Linked DNA regions of Caenorhabditis elegans. The protein of the gene in region 4 purifies or fractionates together with the protein of the main gene of each other region. This does not show direct contact. Each region holds a gene or a part of one and is shown on either strand. Other genes may lie near its edges. The genes, in order: gas-1, ndua-12, ndub-6 and dlst-1.

Region 1 (5,726 bases), on a different chromosome or scaffold from region 4:
AGCATTTCTTGAATCAATACTTTTTAGGGAGTCTAGGTACAAACTAGGGCTCCCAGCTGTGTGAGGCGCGAAATGCGGGCCTCACGCCGACGCCGCGCGCCGCTGTGTGTGTCAGTAAATCCAAAATGTGGTTATTTGGAAGCGGCCGACACGTTTGTGGTTCCGCGCCGCACTATACATGCGGCGTGAGCCCGGCGGAGGCACCGTTGCGGCGACCTCATGGAAGCCCTGGTACAAACTATTAATTTTGATATATCAATTGATAAGCACATAAAAACTCAATGCCCAAACAATTGGCAAATTTTCAATACTTTTCGAATTTCTAACTAGTAAGGCAACGATCTCAAAAGTTGAAAGCCGTCTTTAAATATTACCTTAAAGTTCATAGTTAAAATTTCAGCTCCAATTCGACGGTGCATCTTCATCATCCTTCCGACTTGTCCTCACCATTCAACTTTGGCACCCCGAAGTTCAACCTCATCAACGCGTGTTGTCATTCCTTTCATAATCTTGATCATAATGTTAGCTCTATTTTTATTGTTGTGAGTATTTTCTTAATAAAGCGTTTTTTCTTTGCGTCTTGGTTGCAGACTTATTTATTGAACATCCTGAACAACAGTGAACAGATACAAATCTACATTTTTGAATTTCAGAAAAAAACGAACTTTGAAAAGAAAAGAAAATAAACAGAACACATTTCGCGGTGCAAGGGATAAATAAAGAGTGAGTTGAGAATGTGCTATAGAGAATCCGTCTACGTGCCTAATGAGTTGAGTATTTATCGATCGACCTCTCCGAACACAATATCCATAGTTCCAATGACAGCGACAATGTCGGCGATAAGAGACATGTAGCACACATCGTGGATGGCCGCCAAGTGAGCAAACCCTGGAGCGCGGATGAAGCATCTGAAATGAGACAATTTAATGTTGAAAAAGCTTCTGTTTTGGACGCGTGTAAATCTGGTAAAACCGGACGAATTCGTCCGATTGCACAGCCCTAATTGTATGTATGTGAAATGACAAAAATTAATAATTGGAAATTTCCGTTCACTTACATTTTTCAGTAACCATTATTATATACAACTGTATTTTTAATTGTATAACGGTGTTATAATCTTTGCATCTTATTTTCAGACATTTAGTTCAAAATTTGAACAATATTTCTCTCTTCAAGTGCAAATCAATGCGGATCTGGGAGTCAGGTACACTGCCTGGCGATGCTCCCACTGGGTTATAATTTAAGCCACATCCTAGCCGGGGACTGTGGCCGATAATCCAGTGATGGATGAATGATGAGCTTCACTTCCCATTAGATGCTGGGCGAACCTAAGGCGTGAGGCGGAACTTGAACTTGTGACCTCCAGACTACTAGCGGCCACCACTACCAACTGAGCTATCCCGCCTAGTAACAATTCATAGAAATATCTTATTCAAATGTTAGGAATACGCTGTTCAAAGTTTTGTAATTGCATTCTAGATAACCAATAAAAAACTTGCAGTGTCTACTAGTATTGCACTGAAGCTTTGAACAAAGTATTTCATACACTTCCACTAAAATGACAATTTATTTAATACAGTGCAAAAAATGTGGTTAAATGTTGAAGCTGCACTTTTCCCATTTTATTTGAATAAAATTCCAAACTTTTTAATTGGTGAAAAATCTGTACCTTGGACTTTTGAGCTCTTGTTACTAGTGTATTTACCCACGATGTGGCTAAGAAGATTGTACAACGTGAGCTCTATAACTAACTGGTTTATTCCTTAGTTTAGTACTAATATAATAAACTTCTTGTCTTCTCCTCGTCGTTCCGCCTTCAGAACATAACAATTATCACTTTTAGGGCTGTTAAAAAGGACGAGTTAGGTTCTGCGCGTTTGGACATCCTCAAGTCTCACTGTTGAAATTGTGAAAAACACACACAGTGAGAATTGGGGACGTCCAAACGCGAAGGACGAGGACGCGTCCTGATCCTGCCGCCGAGGACGTCCTGCTGAAAAAGACATCCTCCCTAAAAGGCTAAATCATTTCCTATAGTCAAGTACTACAACTTTGCCAATCCAAAAATGTAATAGAGAAATTCCAATGGTTGTAATACTCGATTTTTTACAAACAATTAGAAGTCCCCTTACTTATAATAACTGAACAAAGGATTTAGCATTCAAAAGAATCGAACCCGCGAGATTGTGCACACTAACCAGCGACGCAACCACTTTGGCCACAGGGGTCGTTTACAGATCCGACCACTGTGGCATTCAAATCAGGGTGGAGGGTGGAGATGTCTGCGCGTGTGGTCCTAATTTGGTAATCACTTCATAATCAAGAATTAATAGTCAACCGGAGTCCCGCTGTCCCGTTTTTGTAAATTTAAAATTTTTTATATATAATATAAATTTTACGGGACATTGACACCCTTGGTTCAGACCACCGCATTCTTAACATTAAAAATGAAATAGTTACCTATATGGTTTTCCGGTTCCATCAGCAACAAGGTAAACTCCAAACTCTCCCTTTGGAGCCTCAATTGGGACATAAGTTGCTCCTGGTGGCACTTGGAATCCTTCGGTGAAGAACTTGAAATGATGAATAAGAGACTCCATGTTCTCCTTCATCTCGGCTCTCTTTGGTGGCACAACCTTGTGATCGTCGACCTTGATTTCTCCGGCTGGCATCTTGTTGAGGCACTGATGCACAATGTTCAACGACTGTCTCATCTCCTCAATACGGCACAAGTATCTGTCGTAGCAATCACCCTTGGTTCCGATTGGAACATCAAATTCCATATCAGCATAGGCATCGTATGGTTCGGTCTTTCTCACGTCTTGCTTGATTCCAGATCCACGGACCATGACTCCACTGAATCCCCAGTTGAGAGCATCAGCAGCTGACACAAGTCCGATGTCAATAGTTCTGGCCTTCCAGATTCGGTTTTCGGTGAGCATGTCTTCGAGCTCATCGATACGTTCTGGGAACTTGATGGCCCAGTCGTAGATGTCATCCATAAGACCAATTGGAAGATCCCAAGCGACACCTCCGGGGCGGACGTAGTTGGCATGCATTCTGGCACCAGATACTCGCTCGGAAAACTCAAAGAGCTTTTCACGTTCTGAAAATCAATGTTGGTTTTGTACTTATTTTGAAACAATAAACTTACCCTCGAACATCCAGAAAAACGGTGTCATAGCTCCAACGTCAAGGGCGTGAGTGGTGATACCCATGATGTGGTTCTGGATGCGAGTGAGCTCTCCCATGAGAGTTCTGATATATTTGGCTCTTGTTGGGATGTCAATACCGAGAAGCTTCTCAACAGCCAAAGACCAAGCCTGCTCATTGCACATCATGGAGACGTAATCGAGACGATCGAAGTATGGGAGAGCCTGCAAAGAAAACAGTTGGAAAAATTGATTGAATATTCGATTTGAGTGACAGAAAAAATGATTTGAAACGGATTTCATAGCTTTTGAAAACTAAAATTAGGCTAAACAAAAAATTATTATTTAGACACAATATTTGTCATTTTCAGTTCTAAACTTGGACCGAGTTGAAGATTTTACAAATTTTCAATTTATCATTTTCAATATCGTTTTAGAAACATACCTGAGTGTAGGTCTTGTGCTCAATGAGCTTTTCAGTGGCACGATGAAGGAGTCCAATATGTGGGATGGCCTTGATGATGACTTCTCCTTCCAGTTTCAACACGAGACGCAACACTCCGTGAGCGGCTGGATGCTGTGGTCCGAAGTTGAGAATCATGTTTTCCAGATTCTTCTCTCTGAAAAAAAAAACAAATTATTTTAATTTTCAAGTACTCGGTAAAATTTCTACCTCTGTTTTCCGCTGTAGTTATCACTCATAACTGGATCGGAATAGGCCAACTTTTCAAGCTTGTCAAGTCCGATCTTCTCGTCGAAATCCGAAACCCGCTCCGACATCCACAGCTTTCCGAGGGTACCTCCGGTCTGAAATATTGAAAATTGAGATGTCACTCGTAACCAACAAAAAAAATCAACCTTAAATTGACGCTCAAATTTAGCATCTGGATACCAGATTGTGTGGGAGTTTCGGGTTTGGGTGGCAGGAGTAGAAGACGTCGCCGCGACCGATGGAACGTTCGCTCGGAGACAAGTTCCGGCGATCTTTCTACCCAACATTGTTTCCTATAAAAATATTCGGTGAATAGTGAGCAATAAAAGTTGTGAAGTTAAAGCAACAAAGAGAAACGGAAAAATCGATAAAATCGCTGCCAAATTGCACATTGAACACAGAAAGATTGAACTTCAAAAACCCACCAATTCGCAACTTGATTTTCACAATTTTTTTCATGGAAACTAACAGTCAGTCGTATTTTTTCTTACACGATAAAGATAATATTAAAATTATTAAGAAAAAAGAAAGTAAATTCGCAAAAACAGTGTCGAAAATAGGTACCGAACGAAAATAAGACGACTGCTCGGTATTTAGCGCGTGGTGGAGTGTCGTTGTTTTCCTCGCGTAGCCTCACCTCTCTATTGATTTAGAAGATGTCTTGTTGCTTGGACAGTCGTTCGGAATTGTCATGCTCGGTGTTATTATTTATTTTTGTTTTCTAAGAAACTTTTTTTAAATTGAAAATTGTTTTATAATATAACGTTAATTTGGATTATTTTGTAAAAATTTTTAATAAACTCATTTTTCAATTTTTGATCAAATTGTAAATTTAACCTAATATTTTCGGTACGTGTGTTCCAACATTTTAAAAGTAAATTAGTAATTGTTTTTTTTCTCCACTTATCTAAAACGTGAGTAGTATTATCATGATTAGGTTTGGAAAAGATCGTTTCAAAAAAAAAACAAAATGAAGATCACGTTTAAAAGTTAAGAAATTAAATTTTCAAAATGTGGAGTTATAATACACAAGTTTCATATTTTTTTACACTTATTACCGAAATGACATCATTGTTTTTTTAAAGTACAGATTTTCGAATATACTATTAACTTATTAATTAAACTGATGATATGAAATACAACTTAACGTTTTTTTCTTTTTTGGTTTCAATATCATTTTTCGTTGTGGTCAATTGATACTAATGATGACTTTTTTTTAAATTTAACATGACTCTCATTTCAATTTTCTATATTTTTTTTCAGAATGGCGGATAGTGCAGGGCGTGATGACGACGGAATGAATTCGGATAGCAGTCAGCCATCACAGAACATCGAAAAAGAAGAGGGTATACTAGATGAGGAGTCGTCATCGTCTGAATCAGGAACGGGTACAGATACCGATAAGGATGATCTGGAAGAGAATAATAATCCGCGACCGGTAAGAATATTTCCAATGACTTTCTCAAACATTTAACATCACAATACCTGATTTTCCAAAAACCTCAAAAATAATTACAGATGCTTCCAAAACAAATGGAATCTCGCTGCAAACACGTCAAAGACATCAATCCATCAGACCTCAGCCAGCTTCTACAGAAGAAGTTAAAATGCATGACTTGCCATGATTCAGTCAGTTTCTCATGTGCTCATCAAGATTGTATTAATAGTTTGAAGTCAAGCTGTTGCAAAAATTCCGACCACCTTCTTCCTCATATGGCGGTACGTTTGTTCGCAAATTGACATCAAGTTTTGCTTACTTTTTTGAATTTTGATATAATTGCATTTTTACATAATATCCGTTAAATAGTAATCTACATATATTTATATAATTTGACAGACACATGCGATGAACTTTTTTCTAA
Region 2 (5,315 bases), on a different chromosome or scaffold from region 4:
AAATCCGAAAAAAAATCGGTGGCCGAACTTTTGGATTTCTAGGCCATCAAGTGAAAAGTTAGTCCAGCCCATCTGAAAATAGCTAGTCACAATTCAAAATGGCAAGAAGACGCTTGTGGACTAACATCTCAGTTGGTGGCCTAGAAATTCAAAAGTTCGGCCATCGACTTTTAAAATTTTATTTTCTTCCAATTTTTCACAAAAATGTGCTGAATTACTAATTATTCGATGGGAAACCCGAAAAAAAATCGGTGGCCTAAATTTTTTAAAAAGTCGGCCACCAATTTTTTTCGCGCAAATTTGACCGTTTTTTCGTCAATTTTCCAAATAAAAAATTGCTGGCCTAGAAACCCAAACCTCGGCCACCTATTTTTCACCTAAAAACCGTACCTAAACACACCATCAGGACGCTTTTCTGCTCTCCGACGCTCATTTTCTGGGAAAAAATCAGATTTTTTTTCTGAAAAAAACGTGAAAAATCAATAAAAATATCACAAAAAGGTCGTAAAATCCTTCAAAAAATCAATAAAAATTGGCAAAAAAATCGATAAAAATCTACAAAATTCATATGATTTTAAACACAAAAAAACGGAGAAAAATCTACTTTTTCGAAAAAAAAAATTTCAGGGGCTCTAATTATAGATTTTCAGTCGAATTGTGGCTTCTCTCCTGGTTGCCATCCTTGAATTTTGGTACGAGTTGTCGAGTATGGAACGTACTTTTTGTCGCTGAAAAATTGGGAATTTAGGGGTTTTCTAGGCCATGTGAGTGGAAAACTAGTCCCCGGGATGTTTTTTGTGAAAAATTGACTTTAAAAAACAAGAAAAATGGCCGAAAACCGTTAGAAAAAGATGGTGGCCTAGAAAACCAAAAAGTTCGGCCACCAATTTCTTGAGTCCCCGAGCTGTTTTTTGCGGAAAAATTGACCAAAAAAATGTGAAACTCGAGCTAAAACAGCTGGAAACCGTTAAAAATTGAAAAAAAAAATTGGTGGCCTAGAAAACTCAAAAAGTTCGGCCACCAATTTCTTGAGTCCCCGAGCTGTTTTTTGCGGAAAAATTGACCAAAAAAATATGAAACTCGAGCTAAAACAGCTGGAAATCGTTTAAAAATTGAAAAAAATTGTTGACCTAGAAAACCAAAAAGTTCGGCCACCAACTTTTTTTTCGAAACTTGACGACTTCTAGGCCATGTGAGTGAAAAACTAGTCCCCGGGATGTTTTTTGTGAAAAATTGATTTTAAAAAACAAGAAAAATGGCCGAAAACCGTTAGAAAAAGATGGCGGCCTAGAAAACCAAAAAGTTCGGTCACCATTTTTTTGTTTGAAAATTTTACGATTTCTAGGCCATGTGAGTGGAAAATTAGTCCCCGGGATGTTTTTTGTGAAAAATTGACTTTAAAAAACAAGAAAAATGGCCGAAAACCGTTAGAAAAATTGGTGGCCTAGGAAACCAAAAAGCTCGACCACCAACTTTTTTTTTAAAATTTTACGATTTCTAGGCCATCCAGGTGGAAAACTAGTCTCCGGGATATTTTTTGTTCAAGAATCTGCGAAAATTGACCAAAAATAGGCGAAAAACGTCCGAAAAAATGATGGCCTAGAAAATGAAAAGTTCGGCCACCAACTTTTTTTTTTTCAAAATTTGACGACTTTCAGGCCATCCAGGTGGAAAACTAGTCCCCGTGATGTCTTTTCTTAAAAATTTACGGCAATTAAGAAAAAAAAATTGGTGGCCTAGAAATCCAAAAAGTTCGGCCACCAACTTTGTTTTTCTCAATTTTCATGATTTTTAGGCCATTTTTCACCGTTTTTCTTGATTTTTTCATTGAAATTCGTCTAAAAATCCAATTTTCCGTCGAAAACCTACGCGTAGATACTGGTGTTCTCCTTATGTTCGAGTACCCAATCCTGAGTTGGTGGTGGCTTCACCGATGGAGCATCATCGGTGATGTGGTGGAGCCAAGAGTGCCTGGAAAATTAAAGAAAATGATGAAAAAATGAACAATTTTGCGCATTTTTACACGAAAATTAGGCTTGAAAATCGGTGACCGAACTTTCGGATTTCTAGGCCACCAGGTGAAAAGTTAGTCCACCATGTTTTCCGGACATTTTGAGTGATTTGGGCCAAATTTGAGTGGTGGAACTAACTTTTCACCTGGTGGCCTAGAAACCCAAAAGTTCGGCCACCGATTTTTTTTTCGATTTTCATGATTTTTATGTCATCTATTTTTATTTGTATTTGTCTAGGCCATTCTAGGCCATTTTCTAGGCCATTTCTAGGCCATTTTAGGCCGATCTAGGCCATTTTTCGTGTAAAAAACAGCAAAATTGTTCATTTTTCGTCGTCATTTTTTTGCGTACCATTCCGGTGGCACTTGAGTCGCATCATAGTCGAGCCAAACTTTGTCGGGAAACTCGACCCAACGGTTGCGTGGCACGAAATACGCGTTATTCTCGTAGTAACGATTGCCGAAATTGTCCGAACCGACGAGTGTTCCGACGCGGGTCGCGTCCATTCTGAAAATTTGAGAAGATTTTTATGTAAATTGAGCGAAAATGGTGTAAAATTGGCCTAAAAATCATCATTAAAAAACAAAAGAAATCGGTGGCCGAACTTTTCGATTTTCTAGGCCACCATGTGAAAAGTTAGTCCCCATCGATTTTCGCTCGTTTTCAGGTGATTTTAAGCGATTATAAGCCCGCGCGGACTAACTTTTCACTCGCTGGTCTAGAAAATCGAAAAGTTCGGCCACCGATTTTTTTTTCGGTTTTTTATGTTTCTCCGGTCATTTTTCCGACGCGAGTCATTCGAAAAATTCAATTTTTCAACCGAAATTTTGATGAAATTAAGCGAAAATAGTGTAAAATTGGCATAAAACTCATTAAAAAAAAAACGGTGGCCGAACTTTTCGATTTTCTAGGCCATCAGGTGAACAGTTAGTCCCCCACACAAAATTGACCTGACGTATCGCGCAGGATGTCCAAATGAAATTGGGGGACTAATTTATCACTTGGTGGCCTAGAAATCCAAAAAAGTTCAGCCTCCGATTTCTGACAGATTTCATGACAAATTTCGTACATTTTTTGAATTTTTTAATACTGAAAAATTCAAAAAAAAAATTCGTGGCCGAACTTTTCGATTTTCTAGGCCACCAGCTGAAAAGTTAGTCCCCGCTGATTTTCGCTCGTTTTCAGGTGATTTCAAGCGATTATCAACCCGCGGACTAACTTTTCACATGACGGCCTAGAAAATCGAAAAGTTAGGCCATCAATTTTTTGATGTATTTTTAAAAAATAAAATTCGATTGTTGTAAATCGAAAAAAAAAATTAAAAATTTGTCAGAAATCGGTGGCCGAACTTTTGGATTTCTAGGCCACCAAGTGAAAAATTAGTCCCCCAATTTTGTTTTGACATTCTGCGTGATAGGTCAGGTCAGTTTTGTGTGGGGGACTAACTTTTCACCTGATGGCCTAGAAAATCGAAAAGTTCGGCCACCGATTTTTTTTTCGATTTTTATGATTTTCAGGTAATTTTCGACCGTTTTTCTTCTAATTTAGTGCATTTTCAGCCATTTTTCCACCTGAAAACTTACAAATAACGCTTCTTAAGCACCGCTTTGACACCTCCAATCTCCTTGACCATTTGGCCAAACTTTTGGATTTTATCGATTCCCAGCCACGCTTTCAGGGACATCTGTAATGTAAATTTGGTTGGAAAAATGGGAAATTTTAACGGAATGTGGGGAGGAAAAACCAAGCATTTTGTGAATTTTTTCAAAAAAAAATTTTTTATAAATTTTTTGGCGAAAAACTCCATATTTCCTGTGAAATATGATATTTTTCGAGTTTTTCACTGAAAAATCTTGAATTTTTTGAAAAAAATCAGGGAAAAATCGATTTTTCAGTGGAAAATTGGAACAAAAAAAGTGAATTTTTACATTTTTTGAAAACTTTAAATTTTTCACCAAAAAATCGCAGAAGAAGGATTTTTCTCTCTGAAAAATTGGGAAAAAATCTGAAAAATTCAAAATTTGACTTTAAAATTGAATTTTTAATGGAAAATTTGTAAAAAATGTGCATTTTTCACTAAAAATTGAAAAATTCTGAAAATCTGGAAAAAATAAAAAAAATATTTCAGAGCTTGAAAAACTCGCAAATTCCAAAACAAAAAATCAATAAAAATCGCCGCAATTTTTCACAGAAAACGGTGTACTTTTTTTATGCATTAAAGTGTGATAGAAGAAAGAAAAAAAACGATATTGGGAAATGGGGGGAAAAAATCAAATAATTTAGCGTAAAATACAGGTATTTTCAGGGAATTTGAGAGGTTTTGGGGGGTAAAAACGAGTAGAAATTCGAAATTTTTTCAGATGAAATTTTCAATTTTCAATTTTCCCGCCAAAAAAGCAGCGTCAGGAATCTCCTCAGTTGGTGGTGGGCAAGATTTTCACGGCGACGACCGAATTGAGCACATTTGCATCCTTCAGAGTCTGTGATTCGTCTTCAAATGGTTTTGGAGGGTAGGCAGCCATCATTTGGAATGGAGCGTAGATCATATCTGGGCGGGCGCTGGAAAATCAAAATTTTTAAATTAAAAAAATTTGAGTTTTTTGAAAGAAAAAACTAGAAAAATGTAATTTTTTAATTTGAAAAATGTAATTTTTTAATTTGAAAAATGTAATTTTTCTATCACTGTGTATATCAGAAAAATATTATTAAAAAATAATTATTCATTGGAAAATTTCGAATTTTTCAGGCTAAAAATGTGATTTTTAGATGATTTTTTTATTTTTTTAATTCGAAATTTTCTAAAAATCTACTTTTTCTAGTGAAAAATGAGAGTTTTTAATAGCTTTTTCCGGCTGAAAACTCACGTGCAAATGAATGTACGAACTGCTTCAAGTGTGTGAGAATGATTAAAAATACCGACGAGACGCTGATTGTTTGGCAGACGGATTTGGATCTGAAAATTTTGTTAAAATTAATCAAAATATCAGGAAAGAAGCCACAATTCGACTGAAAATCTATAATTAGAGCCTGAAATTTTTTTTTTTCGAAAAAGTAGATTTTTCTCCGTTTTTTTTGTGTTTAAAATCATATGAATTTTGTAGATTTTTATCGATTTTTTTTTGCCAATTTTTATTGATTTTTTGAAGGATTTTACGACCTTTTTGTGATATTTTTATTGATTTTTCACGTTTTTTTCAGGAAAAAAATCTGATTTTTTCCCAGAAAATGAGCGTCGGAGAGCAGAAAAGCGTCCTGATGGTGTGTTTAGGTACGGTTTTTAGGTGAAAAATAGGTGGCCGAGGT
Region 3 (3,311 bases), on a different chromosome or scaffold from region 4:
TGAGACCCGTTCACTTCCCGTCTTTTTCGAATCCACCTGGCTTTTCGTCATTATCGCCGCCTCGATGAGCTTTGGAAGTGGATATTTCTCGGGACTCGCCATGATGTACACCTCGAAGACTGTTGATCCATCGAAGGCTCAGGTCGCTGGAATGATGGCCGGATTCTTCCTCATCTCTGGAATTGTCTCTGGTCTGATCTTCACAATGGTCATCAAGATGGTCGTCACGGCCTAAACTTCTTATTCCTCCTTATTTTATTCCCATCAACCTCATCATTAGCAATATTAATTCCCTAACGTAAATTCTTTCATAACCTTCAAGGTTTCCTCTGTAGTATCTTTATCCACTAGTGTTCTTTCCTTAAAATACCTCTTAATACTTTGTTGTTCTTTGTTATTTTCCTTCTTCAGGTATTTCCGCAGCACCATCTCGTTGTTCTCCTATTTTTTTATAATCTCAACTTGTTTTTTATGAATAAAACCTAGAAAGTTGGTTAAATAAATCATTCATGAAATTTTTTATTTACGGTAGGGTCAAAAACAAAGAAAAAACTTTAAAAATTCGTCTACAACACCCTAAAAGTACATATTCGAATGACTGATTGTCACTCGTTTCCTTTCGATTACCACGGTCGTTTTGTCTCTCCAACATCGAGGTAAGCAGTACGCTTATTAAATGTTGGTCTGAAAAGTTTCAATTTTCCAATATTCCACAAATTATTGTTTAACTCACGTGTAGTAGTCATCCTTGGATGGGTTGGCGAGTCCCTTATCCATGAGTCCAGGGAATTTCTCTTCAATTGCTGGAGCACTAGCAATAACTTCTTTTTGTGGCATCGATTCAAGTCCTCTCAAATGTGTCCAGTCCTTGAAAAGATAATGGTTCGTGAAATTAATATAAAATTCAAAAAATTGAATACCTTGACTTCGTATTTCCAATAATAATAGGCAGTCTGCACAACGACGAAAGCCATGAGCAATTTTGGAGCTGTAACTCTGATAGCGGTTCCATAGTAAACTCCGAATGTTGGCTGAAATGCAATAAATGAGAAATTCAAATTAAAAAATTGATTTTTTTAAAGAAAATATATCTCACCTTGAGGTAATGAAGATAGAACTTGTCCCATGGAAGTCTGTAAGCGGTTCTGATTGGGTTCAACTGACGATGAACGGCATCGACAACGACTGGCTCGTCAGCGTGAAGGTGCTGGTCCTAAACATAAACATTTTAGTATTAACAATTGACAAAAAATGTAAAAACTCACATGAACCCACTTCTTTCTCCATTCTCTTTCGGCTGGGCTCAAACCAGCGGCACGAACACGCTCATCGGCCATGTGGAGCTCGAGAGACATGCGGTCATTCACTCTGAATTTTTTTGTGTTGAATAGAATTTGTTGAACAGAATCTAAAAGAATTACCTGTGAAGAGGCTTGTCACCAGTCTTGACAAGCGCCGGTGGTGGAACTCCGGACCGGGTATAAGGGGAATTGCCCGTGCGTTCTGGTTTCACATACTGGTTACCCATTTGAGCCTGAAATTCGTTTTTATGAATTTGTGAGACTGCTTAAATATAAACTGAGTAAAAATCGATAATAATGAACGGGCACACAAAAAACATGATACATGACAACGAAATATAACAATTTAACATAAATTACATACGAAATCAATAAAATTTTAGCAAATTTGAATAAAACAAACTATTTTGCAGTTAAATTTAGATCTGCCATTTATTAAAAAGCCCGTTGCGGCTTGCAAAAGAAGGCGGAGTTTCGAGGTGCAAGCGCGCGGCGCACTTTTCTCTTTCTTTTTTCTTGCATTGTTCTGATTAAAATTAATATAGTTTCCACGTTCTCTAACACTTTATTATTCCATTCGAAAGATTTTTCTAAACTTTAAAAGTATTTCAGCACGATGTCGGGTACAATGCGGGATAAAACAAATGACGTGCAAGGCTTCCGGTTTGCATGGCCCTTTCCAAAAAAACCGTCACTTCTGTACCGTATAAAATCATACATGACAATGAGTTTAGTCACTTCAGTTTCCAAACTTATGTTCCTTGGAGGTTTGTCTTTTAATTAAAGTTTAAAATTATTAAATTCGATACATTTTAGGATCCAATAAGTTGATATGCCACAACAAAGAGACATTCGTCAAGATTTTGGAAAATCCGAATCAACCACTCATCACAGTCTCAAATCATCGCTCAAATATCGACGACCCGCTCATGTGGTGTAAGCCGAATGATTTATTATAGCATTCCTAATTTCTATTTTCAGGTATTCTGAAATTCCGTGAGTTTTGGAGATACAAAGATCGCAATAGATACACTCTCGCAGCTCACAACATTTGCTTCACAAAACAGTTCCATACAACGTAAGAGTTTTTTCTCTTGAATTTTTCAAATTAATCGTCGCATATTTATTTTTCAGAATGTTCTCATTAGGACGTTGTGTTCCGTGTGTTCGTGGAGAAGGAGTTTATCAAAAAGGAATGGATTTCTGTGTGGATATGCTGAATGATAATAAATGGGTTCATATCTTTCCAGAAGGAAAAGTGTGTACTCTTGAAAGTGAACCACTACGATTCAAGTGGGGAATTGGAAGGCTTGTGATGGATGCTAAAACCGATCCAGTAATATTGCCTGTATGGTGTAAAGAGATGGAAAAAGTTTGGCCAACACAACCTCCATACTATCCTAAATTTGGAAATGTAAGTCGGAAGATTTTTCAAGTTCAATAATCAAATTTAGACGTAAAAATATAAAATCTGCAAAAAACGTAGTGAAATTATTCATTTTTTTCCGTTTCAGACCGTAACAGTTCACATCGGAGAGCCATTTTTCCTGTCTGATCTCAAGAAAACAGTTCTATCAAAGTCACTGACCACTGAACAAATGCGAAAAATCATCACTGACGAAGTTCAGACACGGATGTATCAATTGGGAGAGAAAGTTGGTGATCTTCCTAAAGGATCGTCACTGGAAATTCTTCGAAAAAATCCGCCAATTGAATATTAAACTTGATTCCCCATAGCTTTAATTTTTTAGGAAATATTTAGATTTTTTTTCTATTTCTTGGTTTGATGATTTTTGTTATAACACAACTTTTATTGCATTTTCTATGTACGTGATAGCCATTTTCTTTCCTACTTGCTGTTTTTGTTTTTTTTTTCTCTTCCCTTGAAATCCCGGATGAATTCGTCTCAAGCTCTGATCTTAAGATCATCATTCTGTTCTCCTTCACCATTTCCTCTCATCGTTTCAGAACGTCGAATCGAGTCGTTGGTTTAATGGCGTGCCAAACGGC
Region 4 (4,292 bases):
TTTCAATGCAAAGATTATTCAGCACATTATAATGTTCTTCAGCTTTATTGAATGCTCGTGCGTGCAAATTTCGTGTATCTTCATTTTTTATAAGTCCAGTACATTCCAGATCGAAGAACACGTATGTTTTGATAAACTCTCGAGAGTAGGCACTGAAATTGAAAAAATATATTTCCAAGAAAGGAAATATTAAACACCTTCTTTTCTGAATCTGTTTTGTTGGACTGGCTTTCAGTAGTATGGGTGGTCCTCTCTTCCGTTCTGGAGTTACATCGCCGTGTAGAGTCCACGTGGCTATTTTTGAAGGTGTCGTGGTTGGAGTGAAATCCGATGACCGCTTCTGAAATTAAATTCAACATTGCAATATTTCCTCTAATGATTTTTTTTTCAACTCACCATTATTTCAACCGTTCTCACTTGCCAGGAATACCTGAAAGATGACATTGAACTTCTTATCTTTTATCAGTGATCACCTTCTCATTGCCAAGTGACGTCATAAATATCGAAATCAAAAGTAATGATTGCCAAATTTGTGTGATTAAAGACTGATGAAGAAGTGAAATATTTGGTTTTTATTTTTTTAATAATCAATACTAGCTTTTGAACAAGAAAACTCGGATAATAAGGGACAGTCGAACATAAGGGGTGAATGACAAGCTAGACGATACATCGTACCTATGATTTACGGTTGATTACTAAACGTTCAAACGAAAAATTAAAAATTTTGTGAAAGCATGACCAAGGAGGCATAGAAAAAAGAATTTAGAAAAAAAGGGGCGATAAAGATTTAAGATTTAAAGATTCATGAACATGATTCGTGGATCCTCGACGGCGGTCTTGATCTTCTTGAGGAAGGTGACTGCCTCTCTTCCATCGATCAATCTGTGGTCGTAGGTCAAAGCGATTTGCATGATTGGTCGGATCTCTGGCTGAAAATTGAACAAATTTTTATGAATCATACGTTTTTGTTTCTATATATTTTCAGTATTATAATCATTTTAGTTAAATTTAAACATTTTGAAATTCGAATTTGATAATTTCTATCAGTAATTGGAATAAAAATGAAAACTTGCCTTTCCGTTGACTGGAACAACACGATCAAACACTCCGTGCATTCCCAAAATTGCACTTTGTGGTGGATTGATGATTGGGGTTCCGAACATGGATCCGAAGACTCCACCGTTAGAAATCGTGAAGGTTCCTCCCTCCATATCTTCAACAGCCAGCTTTCCGTCACGAGCCTTCACTCCGAGATTGGCAAGTTCCAATTCGATTTGAGCATAATTCATGCTCTCGACATTTCTCAAGACTGGAACAACGAGTCCTTTCGGTGTAGCAACAGCAACGGAGATATCGACAAAGTGACGGTAGACAATTTCGTTTTCATCGAGAACGGCGTTAACAACTGGAGATTCTTGAAGAGCGTAGGCGGCAGCGCGGACAAATGGAGACATCATTCCGAGCTTAACTCCGTGCTTGGCAACAAAATCCTTCTGATAAGTCTTTCTCATTTCGATGAGGCTGCTGCAAAAACACGAAAACTTTTTTTAAAAACCCAGAAAACAACAAAAAACCTCATATCAATCTCATTGAAGGTAGTAAGCATAGCATAAGTATTCTGAGCATCCTTCAGTCTTTGAGCAATGCGCATGCGCATTCTGTTGGCTTTAACGCGGACTTCATCACGGGCTCCGGTGATTGCGTGGGATGGATCAACTCCCTTTGGAACAACGACACGAGTGACTGGGACGGCTCCGACTGGAGTGGAAGATGATGGTGTTGATGGTGGGCGAGCAACTGGTGGAGCAGATTTTGGAATATCCCCAGAAACTGGCTTTGGTGGGGCAGCGGCAGTCACAGCTGGCTTCGAATCTTCCTTGGCTGGAGCTGGTTTTGATTCTTCTTTGGCTGGCGCTGATTTTGGTTCTTCTTTAGCTGGCGCTGACTGAAAAAAAAACAAATATTATAATTCAGTCACTAAGCTGTACAAAAATTAACTCACAGACGAGCCTCCGCCTGCTCCTGGCTGAAGTTTATAAAGCTTTTGCTTGGCTGTCACTTTAGCTCCATCTTCCACGAGAAACTCGACAATTGTTCCGGCTTGTGGAGCTGGTACTTCAACCGAAGTTTTATCCGTCTCAATCTCAGCGACAAGTTCGTCTTCGTTAACATGATCTCCCTTCTGCTTTAGCCATCTAATATCTCCTTCCGAAATTGATTCAGCAAAAGCTGGTCCTTCGACGGTAATAACATCGCTCACTGTGATTTGAATATGAGATTTTTGAAAAGTATTTTTCATTTAAAACTCACTTCTTACTGCACTCATGTGGAAGTTGGCTGAAGATGTAATTCTCACATTTTGAACGAGTGGTTCCAACAAACTGGTCTTAGCTGGAAGAAATTCGATTATTTTAATATAAAACGTGTAAACTTCCTACCTTGGAGGCTTGGCTGTGCAGAAGAGGCAGCAGTTACGCTCTGGAAAACGGAATACGTATTTTTTTTAACTAAAAAATAAATGAGAAATGCTCACTTGTCTCGCGGCTCTGGAAAGAAACCGATGAACTGATACTGCACGTCGCCCGAGCATTTTCGGTTACCCTGAAAAATAGCGTATTAATATTTTTTGCGCAAAACAATTGAAATATGTTCTAAATAACTCCTCATTCAAAAATATCAAGGAATTTTAATGCAACAATTCGAGAAGTGGGCGTGGTCGGACGGGCGCTGGTCTGCAACGCGCGCGCGCGTTTTTCGCAACGCCACCGCACGCTTTTCGTTGGATCAGAGTTTTTCGGGATATTTTTCGGAATATCAATAACATGAAAAATACGTAGATTATGAATCGCATGACATATTTTGCAGTGCAATTAATCATAAAAATAAAGTATACACAAATTTTCACTTTGATTTTTTCAATTTTCTGTAGAAATTGTATTTTTTCTGTTGCATTTCTGATAAACACACACAATTCGATATAACACGTGGGTTTGCCCATTTGAATGTTGCAGAATCAAAGATATCGAAAACCAGTTTAACATTGTACCACTGGCTAGTTGATAAGCAGAAGATCGATGTGTGATTAGAAAATGTTTATTTGTGATTTTCGAATTTGAGAAACATAACGACGGCACAGTTCAAAAGTGAAGTATAGAAATAGTGAATAGAAAACGAGGATGAATTGATTAGTTCAGTTTACACGCTGAAATCTCGGAATGGCGCTCCGGTTTTCTTTTGGAAGTCTCGGACTGGTGAGACTGCTTTCGGAAGTGTGATAATTGTTGGCAAAACAGGCCGATAGACAGGAACGTTTGATGTAACTTGTGGAGCTGCATAACCGTATGGACTCGAGGCTGTAATAAAATAATTATAAAATGAAGAAAATATTCTATGCAACTCACCAAAACTTGGGTAATATTGAGATCGAGGCATTTGATATACAGGCTGTGGTGGATTTGCTGAAACATGACGCCAATTATTTTCAAATGGAAACTCAAACTATTTACCTTTAAAATTGTGAAATTCCTGTTGTAATGTTGGCCAAAATGTAGGATCAGCGGAGTTTGCAATTTGAATTGCTTGTGCAAAGCCAGCACCATCTACTTTATCCAGCAACTCTCCAAGGACTGCATCGATGCTTTTCGGGCCTGATTCGACATTTATTCCTTGATGAGATGCGAGCCTTGTTCGTAGATCACGATCCCAGTCGGTGAATCGTGTCACTCCTGCATTATAGTCGGCAGATCCTCTTTGCAACCTGAAAATATTGAGAAATTATGTGAATAAAATATATATTCGACTGACGCGTTAGCATTTTTCCACTTTTCGAAATTTGCCGCATTATCGGCAATTTGCTTTTCGATTTCGGCGATAGCTGCGTAGTCCTGAAAACAAAAGAATAGAAGATAATCGATAAAACAACGAGAAAAACAATATCGTCGACTTCCATTGGTGGGCTCTGCCTACCTACCTTCTTGTCGGCCATTTTCAGAACGAAAAATTGAAAAATTAATGGAAACAACTAATTTTCTGTTTAAAAACAAAAAATCAATCTCGCTTTCAAGACTTGAAATGTTCTGAAACCCCCTAGAGAAACGAGACGAGAAAAAATTTTGATTCGAAAATCGTTGAGGGGTGCGGAGTGTCGTAGCGCGCCTTGTTTATTTTTTGAGTGCTTATGGTAACTGGCTTAATATTAGGTCTACGTTGAATAAAACAACAAATTCATATTTTACCTTGAACAATTGTAATAAAACTGAAAATTTTGTGGTCATAGGACACTGATTCAGAAA

The links.
Region 1: the proteins of dlst-1 (region 4) and gas-1 fractionate together in Caenorhabditis elegans (co-fractionation; one large-scale study listed by BioGRID). This does not show direct contact.
Region 2: the proteins of dlst-1 (region 4) and ndua-12 fractionate together in Caenorhabditis elegans (co-fractionation; one large-scale study listed by BioGRID). This does not show direct contact.
Region 3: the proteins of dlst-1 (region 4) and ndub-6 fractionate together in Caenorhabditis elegans (co-fractionation; one large-scale study listed by BioGRID). This does not show direct contact.

The regions. Positions count from the first base shown.
Region 1 is NC_003284.9:15,586,241-15,591,966, forward strand, and holds gas-1 (putative NADH dehydrogenase [ubiquinone] iron-sulfur protein 2, mitochondrial), read right to left. Parts: upstream 4,158-5,726; 5' UTR 4,152-4,157; coding exon 4,011-4,151; intron 3,960-4,010; coding exon 3,826-3,959; intron 3,773-3,825; coding exon 3,598-3,772; intron 3,378-3,597; coding exon 3,155-3,377; intron 3,107-3,154; coding exon 2,461-3,106; intron 2,131-2,460; exon of another isoform or gene 2,071-2,130; intron 909-2,070; coding exon 779-908; 3' UTR 546-778; downstream 1-545. Other genes in the region: K09A9.6 (Aspartyl/asparaginy/proline hydroxylase domain-containing protein), read left to right, coding at 401-508; usp-33 (Ubiquitin carboxyl-terminal hydrolase), read left to right, coding at 5,129-5,302, 5,383-5,583.
Region 2 is NC_003282.8:2,716,139-2,721,453, forward strand, and holds ndua-12 (putative NADH dehydrogenase [ubiquinone] 1 alpha subcomplex subunit 12), read right to left. Parts: upstream 3,697-5,315; coding exon 3,596-3,696; intron 2,520-3,595; coding exon 2,364-2,519; intron 1,972-2,363; coding exon 1,870-1,971; intron 729-1,869; coding exon 647-728; 3' UTR 549-646; downstream 1-548. Other genes in the region: Y94H6A.7 (Low molecular weight phosphotyrosine protein phosphatase), read right to left, coding at 391-433; ubxn-2 (UBX domain-containing protein 2), read right to left, coding at 4,427-4,571, 4,877-4,965. UniProt on the Caenorhabditis elegans protein: Accessory subunit of the mitochondrial membrane respiratory chain NADH dehydrogenase (Complex I), that is believed not to be involved in catalysis. Complex I functions in the transfer of electrons from NADH to the respiratory chain.
Region 3 is NC_003282.8:11,650,626-11,653,936, reverse strand, and holds ndub-6 (NADH dehydrogenase [ubiquinone] 1 beta subcomplex subunit 6), read right to left. Parts: upstream 1,535-3,311; 5' UTR 1,529-1,534; coding exon 1,422-1,528; intron 1,369-1,421; coding exon 1,266-1,368; intron 1,214-1,265; coding exon 1,097-1,213; intron 1,032-1,096; coding exon 921-1,031; intron 868-920; coding exon 734-867; intron 685-733; coding exon 624-684; 3' UTR 505-623; downstream 1-504. Other genes in the region: ent-1 (Equilibrative nucleoside transporter 3), read left to right, coding at 1-235; acl-3 (Tafazzin family protein), read left to right, coding at 1,918-2,068, 2,118-2,237, 2,283-2,379, 2,436-2,715, 2,816-3,022.
Region 4 is NC_003283.11:6,706,501-6,710,792, forward strand, and holds dlst-1 (Dihydrolipoyllysine-residue succinyltransferase component of 2-oxoglutarate dehydrogenase complex, mitochondrial), read right to left. Parts: upstream 2,602-4,292; 5' UTR 2,591-2,601; coding exon 2,534-2,590; intron 2,479-2,533; coding exon 2,439-2,478; intron 2,392-2,438; coding exon 2,311-2,391; intron 2,260-2,310; coding exon 2,003-2,259; intron 1,946-2,002; coding exon 1,575-1,945; intron 1,525-1,574; coding exon 1,074-1,524; intron 930-1,073; coding exon 795-929; 3' UTR 556-794; downstream 1-555. Other genes in the region: W02F12.4 (Exonuclease domain-containing protein), read right to left, coding at 1-152, 198-340, 397-399; sna-1 (Small Nuclear RNA (snRNA) Associated protein), read right to left, coding at 3,196-3,353, 3,402-3,458, 3,507-3,757, 3,805-3,884, 3,971-3,985.